Linked DNA regions of Cricetulus griseus. The protein of the gene in region 4 binds, or shares a complex with, the protein of the main gene of each other region. Links are inferred from orthologs where the notes say so. Each region holds a gene or a part of one and is shown on either strand. Other genes may lie near its edges.

The links. Proteins that work in one complex are often made in the same cells at the same time.
Region 1: Med23 (region 4) and Med7 share a complex: the UniProt entries of both Homo sapiens proteins name them as parts of the mediator complex. The link is inferred for Cricetulus griseus from reciprocal best matches to the Homo sapiens genes MED23 and MED7.
Region 2: Med23 (region 4) and Med18 share a complex: the UniProt entries of both Homo sapiens proteins name them as parts of the mediator complex. The link is inferred for Cricetulus griseus from reciprocal best matches to the Homo sapiens genes MED23 and MED18.
Region 3: the proteins of Med23 (region 4) and Med24 are in contact, whole or in part, in a cryo-EM structure (PDB 7EMF), measured with the Homo sapiens proteins. The link is inferred for Cricetulus griseus from reciprocal best matches to the Homo sapiens genes MED23 and MED24. Residues at the interface, in NP_004821.2 of Homo sapiens: Asn150, Thr151, Val152, Ser153, Ser154, Glu193, Gly194, Leu196, Pro197, Trp199, Leu201, Gly202, Asn203, Ser206, Asp207, Asp210, Arg213, Tyr258, Asp259, Lys260, Phe263, Ser1133, Arg1139, Ser1176, Glu1180, Glu1182, Trp1183, Val1184, Tyr1186, Arg1189; in NP_055630.2 of Homo sapiens: Lys238, Thr239, Leu280, Leu283, Lys287, Val291, Glu295, Cys336, Glu339, Phe340, Lys343, Leu344, Thr345, Pro346, Leu347, Asp349, Lys350, Gln353, Lys384, Glu720, Lys721, Trp723, Thr756, Arg757, Lys758, Glu759, His760, Met802, Asp803, Pro804.

The regions. Positions count from the first base shown.
Region 1 is NC_048600.1:60,992,646-60,994,839, forward strand, and holds the end of Med7 (mediator of RNA polymerase II transcription subunit 7), read left to right. Parts: exon of another isoform or gene 1-37; intron 38-733; 5' UTR 734-750; coding exon 751-1,452; 3' UTR 1,453-1,690; downstream 1,691-2,194. UniProt on the Homo sapiens protein: Component of the Mediator complex, a coactivator involved in the regulated transcription of nearly all RNA polymerase II-dependent genes.
Region 2 is NC_048595.1:20,804,478-20,807,003, forward strand, and holds the end of Med18 (mediator of RNA polymerase II transcription subunit 18), read left to right. Parts: intron 1-878; coding exon 879-1,432; 3' UTR 1,433-2,022; downstream 2,023-2,526. UniProt on the Homo sapiens protein: Component of the Mediator complex, a coactivator involved in the regulated transcription of nearly all RNA polymerase II-dependent genes.
Region 3 is NC_048600.1:111,791,859-111,795,378, reverse strand, and holds part of Med24 (mediator of RNA polymerase II transcription subunit 24), read left to right. Parts: intron 1-51; exon of another isoform or gene 52-154; intron 155-285; coding exon 286-368; intron 369-684; coding exon 685-863; intron 864-982; coding exon 983-1,082; intron 1,083-1,365; coding exon 1,366-1,541; intron 1,542-3,454; coding exon 3,455-3,520. UniProt on the Homo sapiens protein: Component of the Mediator complex, a coactivator involved in the regulated transcription of nearly all RNA polymerase II-dependent genes.
Region 4 is NC_048595.1:244,044,927-244,049,114, forward strand, and holds the start of Med23 (mediator of RNA polymerase II transcription subunit 23), read left to right. Parts: upstream 1-1,375; 5' UTR 1,376-1,497; coding exon 1,498-1,545; intron 1,546-1,851; coding exon 1,852-1,883; intron 1,884-1,993; coding exon 1,994-2,081; intron 2,082-3,735; coding exon 3,736-3,860; intron 3,861-4,188. UniProt on the Homo sapiens protein: Required for transcriptional activation subsequent to the assembly of the pre-initiation complex. Component of the Mediator complex, a coactivator involved in the regulated transcription of nearly all RNA polymerase II-dependent genes.

The DNA of each region.
Region 1 (2,194 bases), on a different chromosome or scaffold from region 4:
ATTGAAGTTGATGTTGTCCAGGCTGCCCTGGTCATTGGTTGGTAATTTTTTTCCTCAGCAGTGAAGCTTCATGATACAGTGACAGATGTCATAAGAGCCTCTTCCTCCCACCACACCCCTTTATTTTCAGGATGCTTTGTATGGGTTTATCTTTGAGAAATTAACAAGTGCTAGTGTCTTTTGTGCTCAGAAAGGTTTTTTGTTTGTTTTTATTTTTTTCAATGCCATTACTGTAATTATGGGTACCTGCCTTCTGCTGGAATGGTGTGCCTTTCTAGATGTCTGCTGCACAGACCCTCTTCCCCCAGATGGGCAGGGAGGGGGTGGCAACAGAAGATCCTAGGCACAAAGCAAAAACAAGACACCCTGCACATCCATCCGTAGGCTGTTATCTTTCTTTTGCCTCAGCAGACACCCAGCTGATGTGTGGCTGCCCTAGCTTCCAATCCCCTCAGATTTTATTTATATATGAAAAAGAGTAACTTGTTTATTTAACTGCTCTGGAAAGCACCAAGGAGATAAAGGAAAACAATAGGGGTGTTAACAACATAATCTTTAATTAGAAAATAATTGATGGCCATTCCCTTTTTGTAAATGTTAGTTTTAAATCTGAGATCATCTTGTCTTGGACCCTGTCCTGTCAGAAGAAGGAAAAACATACTCTGAAGTCACTGATGGTGGTTGGGGGTAGTGTTGTCTGGTTCTGCTCTGAATCTGTGTTCTGTTTCTTTAGGTTCTTGATTGTCGACAATGGGTGAACCACAGCAAGTGAGTGCACTCCCACCACCTCCAATGCAGTACATCAAGGAATATACAGATGAAAATATTCAGGAAGGCTTAGCTCCCAAGCCTCCCCCTCCAATTAAAGACAGTTACATGATGTTCGGCAACCAGTTCCAATGTGATGATCTTATCATTCGCCCTTTGGAAAGTCAGGGCATTGAACGGCTTCATCCTATGCAATTTGATCACAAGAAAGAACTGAGAAAACTCAATATGTCTATACTGATTAATTTCTTGGACCTTTTAGATATCTTAATAAGGAGCCCTGGGAGTATAAAACGAGAAGAGAAGCTAGAAGATCTTAAGCTGCTTTTCGTACATGTGCATCATCTTATAAATGAGTATCGACCCCACCAAGCAAGAGAGACCTTGAGAGTAATGATGGAGGTCCAGAAACGGCAACGTCTTGAAACAGCTGAGAGGTTTCAGAAACACCTGGAACGAGTAATTGAAATGATCCAAAATTGCCTTGCTTCTTTGCCAGATGATTTACCCCATTCAGAAGCAGGGATGAGAGTTAAAACTGAGCCAATGGATACTGATGATAACAGCAATTGTACTGGACAAAATGAACAACAAAGAGAAAATTCAGGTCACAGGAGGGACCAGATTATAGAGAAAGATGCTGCCTTATGTGTCCTAGTTGATGAAATGAATGAAAGACCATGAGTATTTTTTCTTTTAGTGAATAGCATCATATATTAGTTTATTTTCTCTTGGACAGTCTTAAGAGGTATAACTAAAAATATAAAGGGACTTTTCTCAATTGAAATGCTGTAGGTGATAATTTAACAGTAAGGATAGGCAAGGAAGTATATTTGAGTAATGATCATAAAAAAGCAGAATGTTTGCTATTGAATGGGATAGTCCTATTTTTGGAAGTGGAATAAAAATTTTAAGAAATATTGAACTGTCATTCTTACGGGGGAGTTATTTCCTTTAAGACTAATAAAGGGCATCAAACTGTACATGTGAAATTACAAAATGTTTAGATTTATTCCAAAACAATACAGGAACTATTTTCCTGATGACTGTTCTACAAACTCAGTATCACAGCCGCTTCTTCCTTATCTTCCATAAAATATCTGCTAGGGGCTTCCCCTTCCCCCCAGTCAGGTAATCAGTCTTCGGTCACTAAGTTTATGTTCATTTTAGACATTAAAATATCTTATGTGCTAACTATATTTCCTGTGTTAGCTGTCTATGTGAGTGTGAGTGCATTTCCTGCAGAGGCTAAAAGGGTGTTGGCTTTTTTTGGAGTGAAGGTGGTTGAAAGCCATTTCTGTGGATGCTGAGAACCAAACTGGTACTATACAAAGAGCAGAATGTGAGCCACTGAGTCATCTCTCTAGCCTCTGCATTATTCCTTTAAAGCCGACGTCTGGTGTTAAATCTGGAAGTTTGCAATGAA
Region 2 (2,526 bases), about 220 Mb from region 4:
AGGCCTTGCATTCCAAGCACATGCTCTACCATTGATTGACAGCCAGCTGCAATTATTTATTTCCAGCTAATGAAATTCTACTTATGGAACAAATTCAAATTTTCCTTTTCATATAATTGTACTTAAGAACAAGAAGACAGGCATGGTTTTGTATGCCTTTAATCCCATCACTCCAGAGGCAGACACAGGTGGATCCCCAAATTCAAGGCTAGCCTGGTCTACAGAGCAAGTTCCAGGATAGCCTGGACTATACAGAGAAATCTTGTCTCAAAAAATAAAGAAAACTGGCTATGGGCTCACAAGACAGCTTAATTTGTAAGGTTATGTCTTAGTTTCTGTTCTGTTTCTTGGCACCATGACAAGGCAACATTTACAAAAGAAAGCATTTATTATTGCAGGCTTGCTTACAGTTTCAGAGGTTTAGGATCATTATGGTGAGGAGCATGGAAGCTAGCAGGCAGGTAGGTGCTGGAGCAATAGCCCTGAGCTACAGCCTGATCCACTGGTAGAGAGAAAGACACTGGGGCTGGCGTGGGCTTTTGAAAACTCAACCCACTCCTGGTGTTGTAACTCCTTCCAATAAGCACATGCCTTCTAATTTTTCCGTAAACATTCTGTTGCCTGGGGACTAGACCTTCAAATGTAAGAGCCTATGGGAGCATTCTTACTCCAACCACCACGGGGTACTTGCTTTGAAGCCTGATAGCCTGAGATCAATCTATGAGAACCACATAGCAGAGGTAGAGAACCAGTAGAATCCCATGGATGGTTCACATGAAACAATGCATAGAATTATTATTTATTGGTGTGTGTTTATCTTCTGCTAGTTTCATGACTTTGCATGAAATCCAGGACTCATTGTCTTTTTACCTCTTCAGGGAGTGTTTTAGACCACAGTTTGGAAAGTCTCATCCATCGCCTTCGTGGTTTGTGTGACAACATGGAGCCTGAGACTTTCCTTGATCACGAGATGGTATTCCTTCTTAAGGGCCAGCAGGCCAGTCCATTTGTTCTAAGGGCCCGACGCTCCATGGACAGGGCAGGGGCACCGTGGCACCTGCGCTACCTGGGACAGCCAGAAATGGGAGACAAGAACCGTCACGCCTTGGTTCGCAACTGTGTGGACATTGCCACATCTGAGAACCTCACAGACTTCTTGATGGAAATGGGCTTCCGCATGGACCATGAGTTTGTAGCCAAAGGACACTTGTTCCGGAAGGGCATCATGAAGATTGTGGTGTACAAGATTTTCCGAATCCTGGTCCCAGGGAACACAGACAGCACAGAGGCCCTGTCTCTCTCCTATCTTGTGGAATTGAGTGTTGTTGCACCAGCTGGGCAGGACATGGTCTCTGATGACATGAGGAATTTTGCGGAGCAGCTCAAACCTCTGGTTCACCTGGAAAAAATAGACCCCAAAAGGCTTATGTGATTAAGAAGGTCTGTCCATCTTTGAGGTCTGTCCTCACCTGATAGGCAGAAAGATCTCCCAAGTGCCCTGGTTCACTGCTGCCAGTCAGGCCGACTCCCTTCCGGAAAACTTAAGTGGTGAGAATATGTTTCCTTTGGACCATTTCCTTTATATAGTAATTTCATCTTTTGTGTTTGTTTGTTTCTTGGTGGCAGGGTCTTACCCTGGCTCACCTGGAACTCACTCCGTAACTAGCCAGTAACGCAGAGCCCGTCTGCCTAATTACCCACATTAAGGCTCTCCTTACGAAGCCGGCTGTTTGATCTCCTTGACAGTCTTCTCCCATTAAAAGCCCAGGATAACATGGAGATTTGACCAAGTCCTCCCTCTGCTCAAAGAGAGGGAACTGGAATAAATTAGCTTTTCAGAGGAAAATGTCAAAAAACAACTCTGATGATTGTTTTGCCTTTTCATTGTTTTTATATATATATTATTTATTTATTTTTTGTTTTCATGTTTTTGTTTATCTTACTTTGTCATTTGTATATAAGATGTGTAACAGTGTTGTGAGCTGGCATTGTATGGTAATAAAGACGGGAAAGAAATTTCGATTCTGATCCTTATTCTTACTATTATTATTACTTCTTAACTATTTACTATTGTTATATTACCCTTTTACTATTATTGTTGTTGTGTATGTGTGTGGGCACACCTGTGGAGGGCCAGAGTCCTCTCCAGGACCACATATAGAAGGAGAGAACCGACTGCTGCAAGTTGTCACCCTCTATCTCCATGTGAAGTCATATAGTTTTTGTTCTTTTAATTTTTTGTTTTTCTTCTGAGGGAAACTTTCAGTCCTTTTTCTTTTCTTTATTTTTTTATTTTATTTTATTTTTTGGTTTTTGGAGACAGAGTTTCTCTGTGTAGCATTGGCTGTCTGGAACTCGCTCTATAGACCAGGCTGGCCTCGAGCTCACAAAGATGCCCTGCCTCTGCCTCCTGGGTGCTGGGACCAAAGGCGGGCGCCACCACTTCCAGGCTTTTCTACTTTTTTAGAAGTCTTACTCGGGATCCTACAAACAACCCTAGTGAGGCTTGGCTCATCTACTTTATAT
Region 3 (3,520 bases), on a different chromosome or scaffold from region 4:
CCCACCTCTCCACCTGTACCATTTCAGAATGGTTTGGGTTCTGGAGGTCTTGGTTTCCAAGGAAGGGATGATGTTCTAAGTAAGACCCAAGAAAAGGATTCTGAGCCTTAGAGCTTTGAAGCACCCACTGGGCCCTGACCTTCCTTCAGGAAATCCTGAGCTGGCATGTAGCCTCCATGCTTGCCTACTCTGCATGAGGCCTTCGGTCCCCAGCACCTCCTCTCCTGTACAGAGCTTGGGCCCTTGTCCTGGGCTGAGAGGTTGGCATTCTTGCCTTTCCCACAGCAAAAACAGCCTCTGTTCGTGCCTTGCTCTTCGACATCTCCTTCCTCATGCTGTGCCACGTGGCCCAGACCTATGGCTCAGAGGTGAGTGAAATGAGAGCTGGTGCCATTAAGAGGCACCAACTGAATGGGGCCCCATTGCTCTCCCAAGCCAGCAGGTTCTGTTGGCCTGAATTCTGGTGCCTGCTATGTCAGTGGGTCCCCAGCATTACAGGTCCTCTAGTGACATATTCACACTGACCACTAGGTGGCAGCACAGATCCCTGTCTGCCTCCCCTGCACACATTTGTCCTTGGAAAGGGAACAGCAAAAGAGCAGGGAACTGAGGCCCAGTCCCGGGCTCAGCTCTGACAGATGCCATACCGTCCTCTCTCAGCTGGTGCCTCTCTGTCTTATCCAGGTGATTCTCTCCGAGGCAAGCTCAGGAGAGGAGGTCCCCTTCTTTGAGACCTGGATGCAGACCTGCATGCCTGAGGAGGGCAAGATTTTGAACCCTGACCACCCTTGCTTCCGGCCTGACTCCACCAAAGTAGAGTCCTTGGTGGCCTTGCTCAACAACTCCTCTGAGATGAAGCTAGTGTTAGTGGCCTAGGTCCTGCCCTTGGGGTAGTCGTGGGGGCATTCCAAGACCCCCTCCCCACATCCTGTCTCCAGCTCCTTTGTAGTGATGCTCCTCCTATCACTTTCCCTCTCTGTAGACAGATGAAGTGGCATGAAGCCTGCCTGAGCATCTCAGCAGCCATTTTGGAGATCCTCAATGCCTGGGAGAATGGGGTGCTGGCCTTCGAGTCCATCCAGGTAGCTGCATTTGTACCTGGGCCTCCCTCTGCCTGAGACACAGGGCCAGTCATCGAGAGCTTGTTAGTTTGCATTCAAGCAAATCCTAAAGCCCGAGATCATGTTTTGGTATTAGTCTTAGAATCCTTGTCTTAGCCACTTCCTCCTTCTCAGTTATCTTTGAGAAAATCAAATTTGTGTTACAGAGGTATAGAATGTGATCCCCAGCTCTCCCAGACGCCATGGGAGTGATGGCTAAGGGGAGGCAAAGAGTCCCTAAGTCGCTCTCTTCTGCTCCCCACAGAAGATCACTGACAATATCAAGGGAAAGGTATGCAGTCTGGCAGTGTGCGCTGTGGCTTGGCTTGTGGCCCACGTCCGGATGCTGGGGCTGGATGAGCGTGAGAAGTCGCTGCAGATGATCCGTCAGCTGGCAGGGCCACTGTACAGTGAGAACACCCTGCAGTTCTACAATGAGAGGTCAGTAACCTGCCCTGCCCTTCCCGCCCCTCCCCTGCAGCCGTGTGGTGAGGAGTCAGCCCTCCAGGGACACAGGCATCCCACTCTGATGCTCTCTCTCGGCCTCCACCTTCCCAGGTAGCCGCTCACTAAGCCACTTCCCCTTCCATCTAGGTTCTGACCAGTCTGCCCTGGCAGCTGAGGGGGTGCACATTCAGAGTAGCTGGACTATCACCCACCTTTTCCCCTTTCCTACCACTCCCTCACATTCTTATTCACCCATTCATTCAACTGGCTCGGCAGGAATTTGGTGTGAGTCTCTGTGTATTAATCCTGCACCTCCCATAGGCAGGAAATATCGACCCCAAACAGCTTGACATCTGTCCTCCAGGCTCCAAATTCCAGAAAACGAGCTGAGGTAGAAGAGCAAAGGGATTAGCTGGCTTGGCTGTGTCACTGTCGAGGAACTCTGAGCCATCTGCAGCTTTTATGGCTTCCTTCCCCCACCCCCAGCTGTCCTGGTCACCAATTCAAGTCCTGGCTCTTCAGGGACTTCCACTAGGCTGAGTCCAGTCGCTTCATTCACTCCACTGTCAAGTTGTTTGACTGTTGGTTTTTAATGTGGCAAGAAGCATGTAATAGGCAATTTACCATTTCAGCTGTGTTTATATGTGTCATTCAGTATATGGGATCTGTTGTGAAACAGCCCTCCAGGCATTTTTCATCTTGTATATCTGGGCCTTTTACCCAACAAACATTGTCCACCTTCCCTTCTCTCAGTTCCTGGCAGCTACCATGCTGTGTCCTGTCCCGGAGTTTGGCTACGCTTAGATACTTCATATAACTAGAATTACGTAATATCTGCCTTCTCATGACTTTACTCAGCATAATTTCCTCAAAATTCACTCATATTCCAGCATGTGACAGGATTTCCTTCCTTCCTTTTTTTTTTTTTGGAGACAGGGTTTTTCTGTAGCCCTGACTGGCCTCAAAATCAGAGATGCTTCTGCCTCTGCCTCCCCAGTGCTGGGATTAAAGGTGTGCGCCACCACCGCCCAGTGATATCCTTTCTTTTTAAGCCCGTATGTGCCCTTTCTGACTACCATCCTGCCCTTGAGAGGCACTGGGGGAACACTGCTCTGAGTGGGTGCTGAGGGCAGCTCACAAGGCAGCTGCTAGGATGTTTTCTGAGCGACAGCTGAAACCGTTTGGGGAAGGGTCTGTAAGAGCACATCTGCTCTCCCCTTGCTATAGAAAATTTGCTTTGACATCATCCATCTCAAGTGTGTGTGTGTGTGTGTGTGTGTGTATACATGTGTACGTATGTGTGTGTATGTGTGCTTGCGCACATGCATGCATATGTACTCACACATACACGTACACGGGCACAGTGGAAATCCAGAGCCTCCTGTGCAGGTGGAGAGGAGCTCTGAAAGTAGCAGCAGCATCCCTGTGCCCCGATCCCCACTGCTTTCATAGCCCCAGATGTTCCTGAGAGGGTTCCTGGCTGTGAACACTTTGCCCAGCTACCCAAGGCTGGGAAGAGTCCTGGGGGCTGCCCAAGGGCCTCTTCTGGAAGTTACAGTTTACTTTGGGAGGAGGCCAAGGCTGGGCGGGGACATCCCCCCACCCCCAGTACTCAGTGGGAAGTGATTGTATTTATTTATGACCCTGATTTGGCAGAGCTCAGTCCTGGGGGATGGGAGAGGCTGGAGCGGGAGAGGGAGAACAGAAAATCTGAATATATTGATGGAACTTGCAAGAGAAAAATCTCTGCCCTGTGCCTTTCTAGGCTTCATGCGGAGCACGTAAGCTCCTTGTCAGTAGTGGTTGTATCGTGTCCTCCCCTAGTGTGCAGTGGGTCTAATTCCCCAGCCACGTTTCCGTAACCTAATTCCAGGGGTAATGCCTGCATGTATCCTCCTTGCCCCCAGAGTGGTGATTATGAACTCAATCTTGGAACACATGTGTGCGGACGTGCTTCAGCAGACAGCAACACA
Region 4 (4,188 bases):
AGTTGTATTAAAAGTAATTTATTGGGAGAGTACTCTCCAGTGGTACATCTTTTTATAAGACATCCATGCGTGGAATAGGAGTTTCCAGTGATGTGGCTGCCCATGTCACCATGCTGCTATAAGTAATTATAATAAACTCATTGGTTCACCAAGCTGCACTTGAATGGAATCCTTTATTTAATCTGTCAATGCCCTCTGTTTGTGGTATGTAAACGTTAATTTACATCTCCCCAAGGAAAAATCATGTGACAAGTTATCACCAGCCACAATGTATAATTTTTAAAAATCATGGACTTAACTTCAGCTGAAACTCTGAAGTTTCTGGGAAAAAAAAAAAAAAACATTGATAGCATCATGTCCTTAGAATAAAGGAGAAATTATTGATAACAAGACAACAACCACAACAAATTCAAAGTATCCATGAAAATTAATCTACAATGAAAGAAATGTTTAATAAAGTAAGAAAATATTCCAGGACTCAGGTGGTTGAGGCAGGAAGATTTTGAGTTCCAGGCTAACCTGGGCTATATAGTGGTCTCTGTTTAGCCTACTTAGACTACAAAAGACCCCATCTTGAAAAGAACCAAAGGAGAGAGGAGGTGAGAAGAAAGGGAGGAAAATGGAGGGGAGGGGAGAGACTAAGGGAGGGAGGAAAGAAAGAAAAAGAGGAGGGGATAGAAGTGTTATCCGAGAGCACAAACTAAAGCAAAGAAAAATGTTGTCTATATAAGATGAAAAACTTGAATACAGGATGTATTAGAACCACAAATAAGCTTATGAAAAATTATATGATTGACAGTAGACAGAAGATGTAAACAGTCCAGTCATAAACATCAAGGATGTGACAAACGAATGGTAGTATAAATAGAGAGTGCTTTCTGGATTTAGGGCAGTGTGGTTGAGCAGCTGGCTGCATAAATTTTCCAGGGCGATGCAAAATAGTGTTTTTAATCATGTGCTTAACATCACCAATCAAAATTAATTAAATTAATAACAATGCGCTTATTCCTTTTTTTTTTTTCAAAATTCATCGAAAGAACGTGCCCATCTCCTAGCAACTGAGGCAACTACCATAAAGAAGATAGGGTGCACGCGGGCAAGAATAAAGCGGTATCGACTCTTTCAGATGGTCAGTCCTTGACAGGCATCGCTTGGTTTGGCTGCAAAAGAACTTAAAATATGACGCAGCTCCGTCTCCAGCCAGGAGGTGGTGACCAAGGCAGCAGGTCTCATATCAAACAAGGTGCGCTTGTCAGCTTGCGGGCCACCTCAGCTTGCGGAACCATCGGGTAGGGCTACAGATACTCGGAGTGGTTGTAATGAGAGCGCACCGGGCCCTTCCGAGCTTCCGGGCGGGCTCTCTTTAGTTGCGGACCTCTGAAGGAAGCGAGCGAGAAAGCCGGGCTTCCTTCCTGTGGTTCCTCCCCTTGGCACCTTTCTTCCCGGATCGAGGGGTTTACCCGCGCCTTGGCGGGCACCCCGGGAGCCCGGGGCTCGATGGTAACGATGGAGACGCAGCTGCAGAGCATTTTCGAGGAGGTGGTGGTGAGTGCAAATGTCCGTGACCAGGGGGAGAGGGGGTGGGGGAAGTAGGGAGGAGACTGCGGCCCGGCTCTGGGCCTGGACCAGGGCCGGCTCCTTTCCCGCCCCCTTTGTTTGTTTTGACATTGGAGTCTATACTAGGGTTGGCGATCCCTGGGCAGCTGTCAGATTCAAAGAAAGCATCGTTAGTTCCCGCGCGTTCCTGATAAAAGTGACTTGTTCTATATTGCCCTAAACTATTTCTCTAGGGAACACCTCCCACCCCCTTTTGATTATTCAGATCCTTTACTGTATTTTGTTTGTTTGCAGAAAACAGAAATTATAGAAGAGGCTTTCCCAGGGTGAGTATGAGGCAGGCAGGATTTTTGTGAGATGTATCTTTGTAAGATTTTACTTACGTTGGTTTGGGGGAGTTGCAATAATTGCAAGTAATGTGATTTTTGTTTTTTAGCATGTTTATGGATACCCCTGAGGATGAAAAAACAAAACTAATTAGCTGTTTGGCAGCCTTCCGACAGTTTTGGAATGGGCTTTCTCAGGTGAGACATTACCTATGTAACAGCCAGTTGATGACTTCTGGTTCCTTCTTACTTTTTATGTCCACATTGACCTTTTTCTTAAGATCATTTAGGAATAGGAAAAATAAAATTGCCATCATTTTACATTCATATCTTTTTTTGCCACCCCCAAGACAGGGTTTCTCAGTGTAGCTTTGGAGCCTGTCCTGGAACTTGCTCTGTAGACCAGGCTGGCCTCGAACTCACAGAGATCTGCCTGCCTCTGCTTCCCAAAGTGCTGGGAATAAAGTCATGCACCACCACCGCCTGGCTACATTTATTTCTTTACTGCAGAACCTGCATTGAAAGTTCAATGTAATAAGATCCCAGTGGGAGATGTTTTTTTAAAAAATTTCTTTCATGTTAGATTATATAAGACATTTTATTCTATTTTGATACATTTGCTTTCCACATGGAAACAGATAATGTTAAGCATTTCTTGTAAAAGAAAAATGTCACGGTTGAAAAAAATTACCCAGGATTTATGAGTATACCCTCCTAAAGATGCTGTAATAGAGTCCCTGTTAGTACATTATCTTCTCATGGTACACTAAACATAGGGAAGTGAGCTACTGAGCTTTTGCCTCTGAGCCAGTGGTAATGTTTGCCACCCTAAAGACAATATGTTCTAAGTTTATTTTCAAAAGGTAGTACTTTGCGTGAATCAGAAAGCAGAAGAGTGGCTCCAAAGGCTGGTTTTCTTCCTTTTCTAGCTTAGCTCCCCCCCAACCCCCGTCTGAAGCTAGAATCACAGTTGGTGGTCCCTGAACTGTTTATCTACATATGAGACTGTGTCTGTCTATGTCACCCCGCCTTTGTCTCCTGAGTTCTGGGATTACAGAGTCGTCTGCCATCACAGTGTGCTTTTTCTCTTTTAACAGTGCTGGGAATACGGGGTTCCTTCCACATGCTAGGCATACGCTCCTCTCTGAACTGCATCCCCAGCCTCAGAATTATATTTTTATTTTATAGAATCACCATTTGTATACACCTGAAAGATGGTCTTGATATCAGCAAGACTTTTGGTGTCAGATTTTAATTATGAAGACCTAGAAATTAGATTTGTGTTTGGAATCATGGCAGGCTCTGATTAGCCTTCATGGGGACTGTATTCATCTAAATTTTGATGAGGCTGAGGTCCCCACCTAAGTTAGGTTCTTTTCCTCCAGCAAGTGGAATATTTATATCACCTTGTAAAGATGCTGCTTAGAGTAACTTAGATGAGTTTCTATTGGCCGTGAATTTGCTAATATAATCTTAGCGGCTTTTGGAGGTCTCATGGTAGGAGTTTAATTGAAATATTTAAGAATCAGTGTAACAAATACTAATTAAATCTTTATTTGGGGGCAAGGTCTTGCTAGATATAGCTCAGGCTGACAGAACTCTATATGTAGCCCAGGATAGCCTCACATAGACGTCATCCCCTCAAGTACTGGGTTTACTGGCATATACTACCATGCCCACAGTTGAATCTGACTTGAATCTTGCCCTTTTAGGAATTATTTTAATTTACTGATGTTCACAGTCCAATATTTTATTTACGGTACTGATATATCCCCTGGTATGATATTAACCATTTCTGTTCCTTAGAAAATGTAACTTCAGGCCTAAAATAAAAACTTTTTCTAATTTTTAGGATTCTCATGAACAATGCATCCAGTGGATTGTTAAATTTATTCATGGCCAACACAGCCCTAAAAGAATTTCTTTCCTTTATGACTGCTTGGCAATGGCAGTTGAGACTGGCCTCCTTCCACCCAGGTATGTGTGGGTGGGGATGACCTGTACAAAGACCTTCCCTCCAAAAGAGGCAGAGTTGATTTGAGGTTGTTGTACAGAGATAAGAGATGGAGAGGGGCCTGGGCTCGTTAGTAAGTCAGTTTAAAAGTCGGTTATTTTTGGTTTCAAATTTATTTTGTTTTTGATGTGTATGCATCTGCGTTACTAGTTGCTATGTTTATAGGAATGCCTGAGAGGCCAAAGTGGGTGTCGGATCCCTTAGAGCTAGAGGTAACAGGTAATGGGAGCCACCTGGCATGGCTTCTGGGACCTGGACTCGGCTTCTTCGAGAAAGTGTGAGCTCTGAACT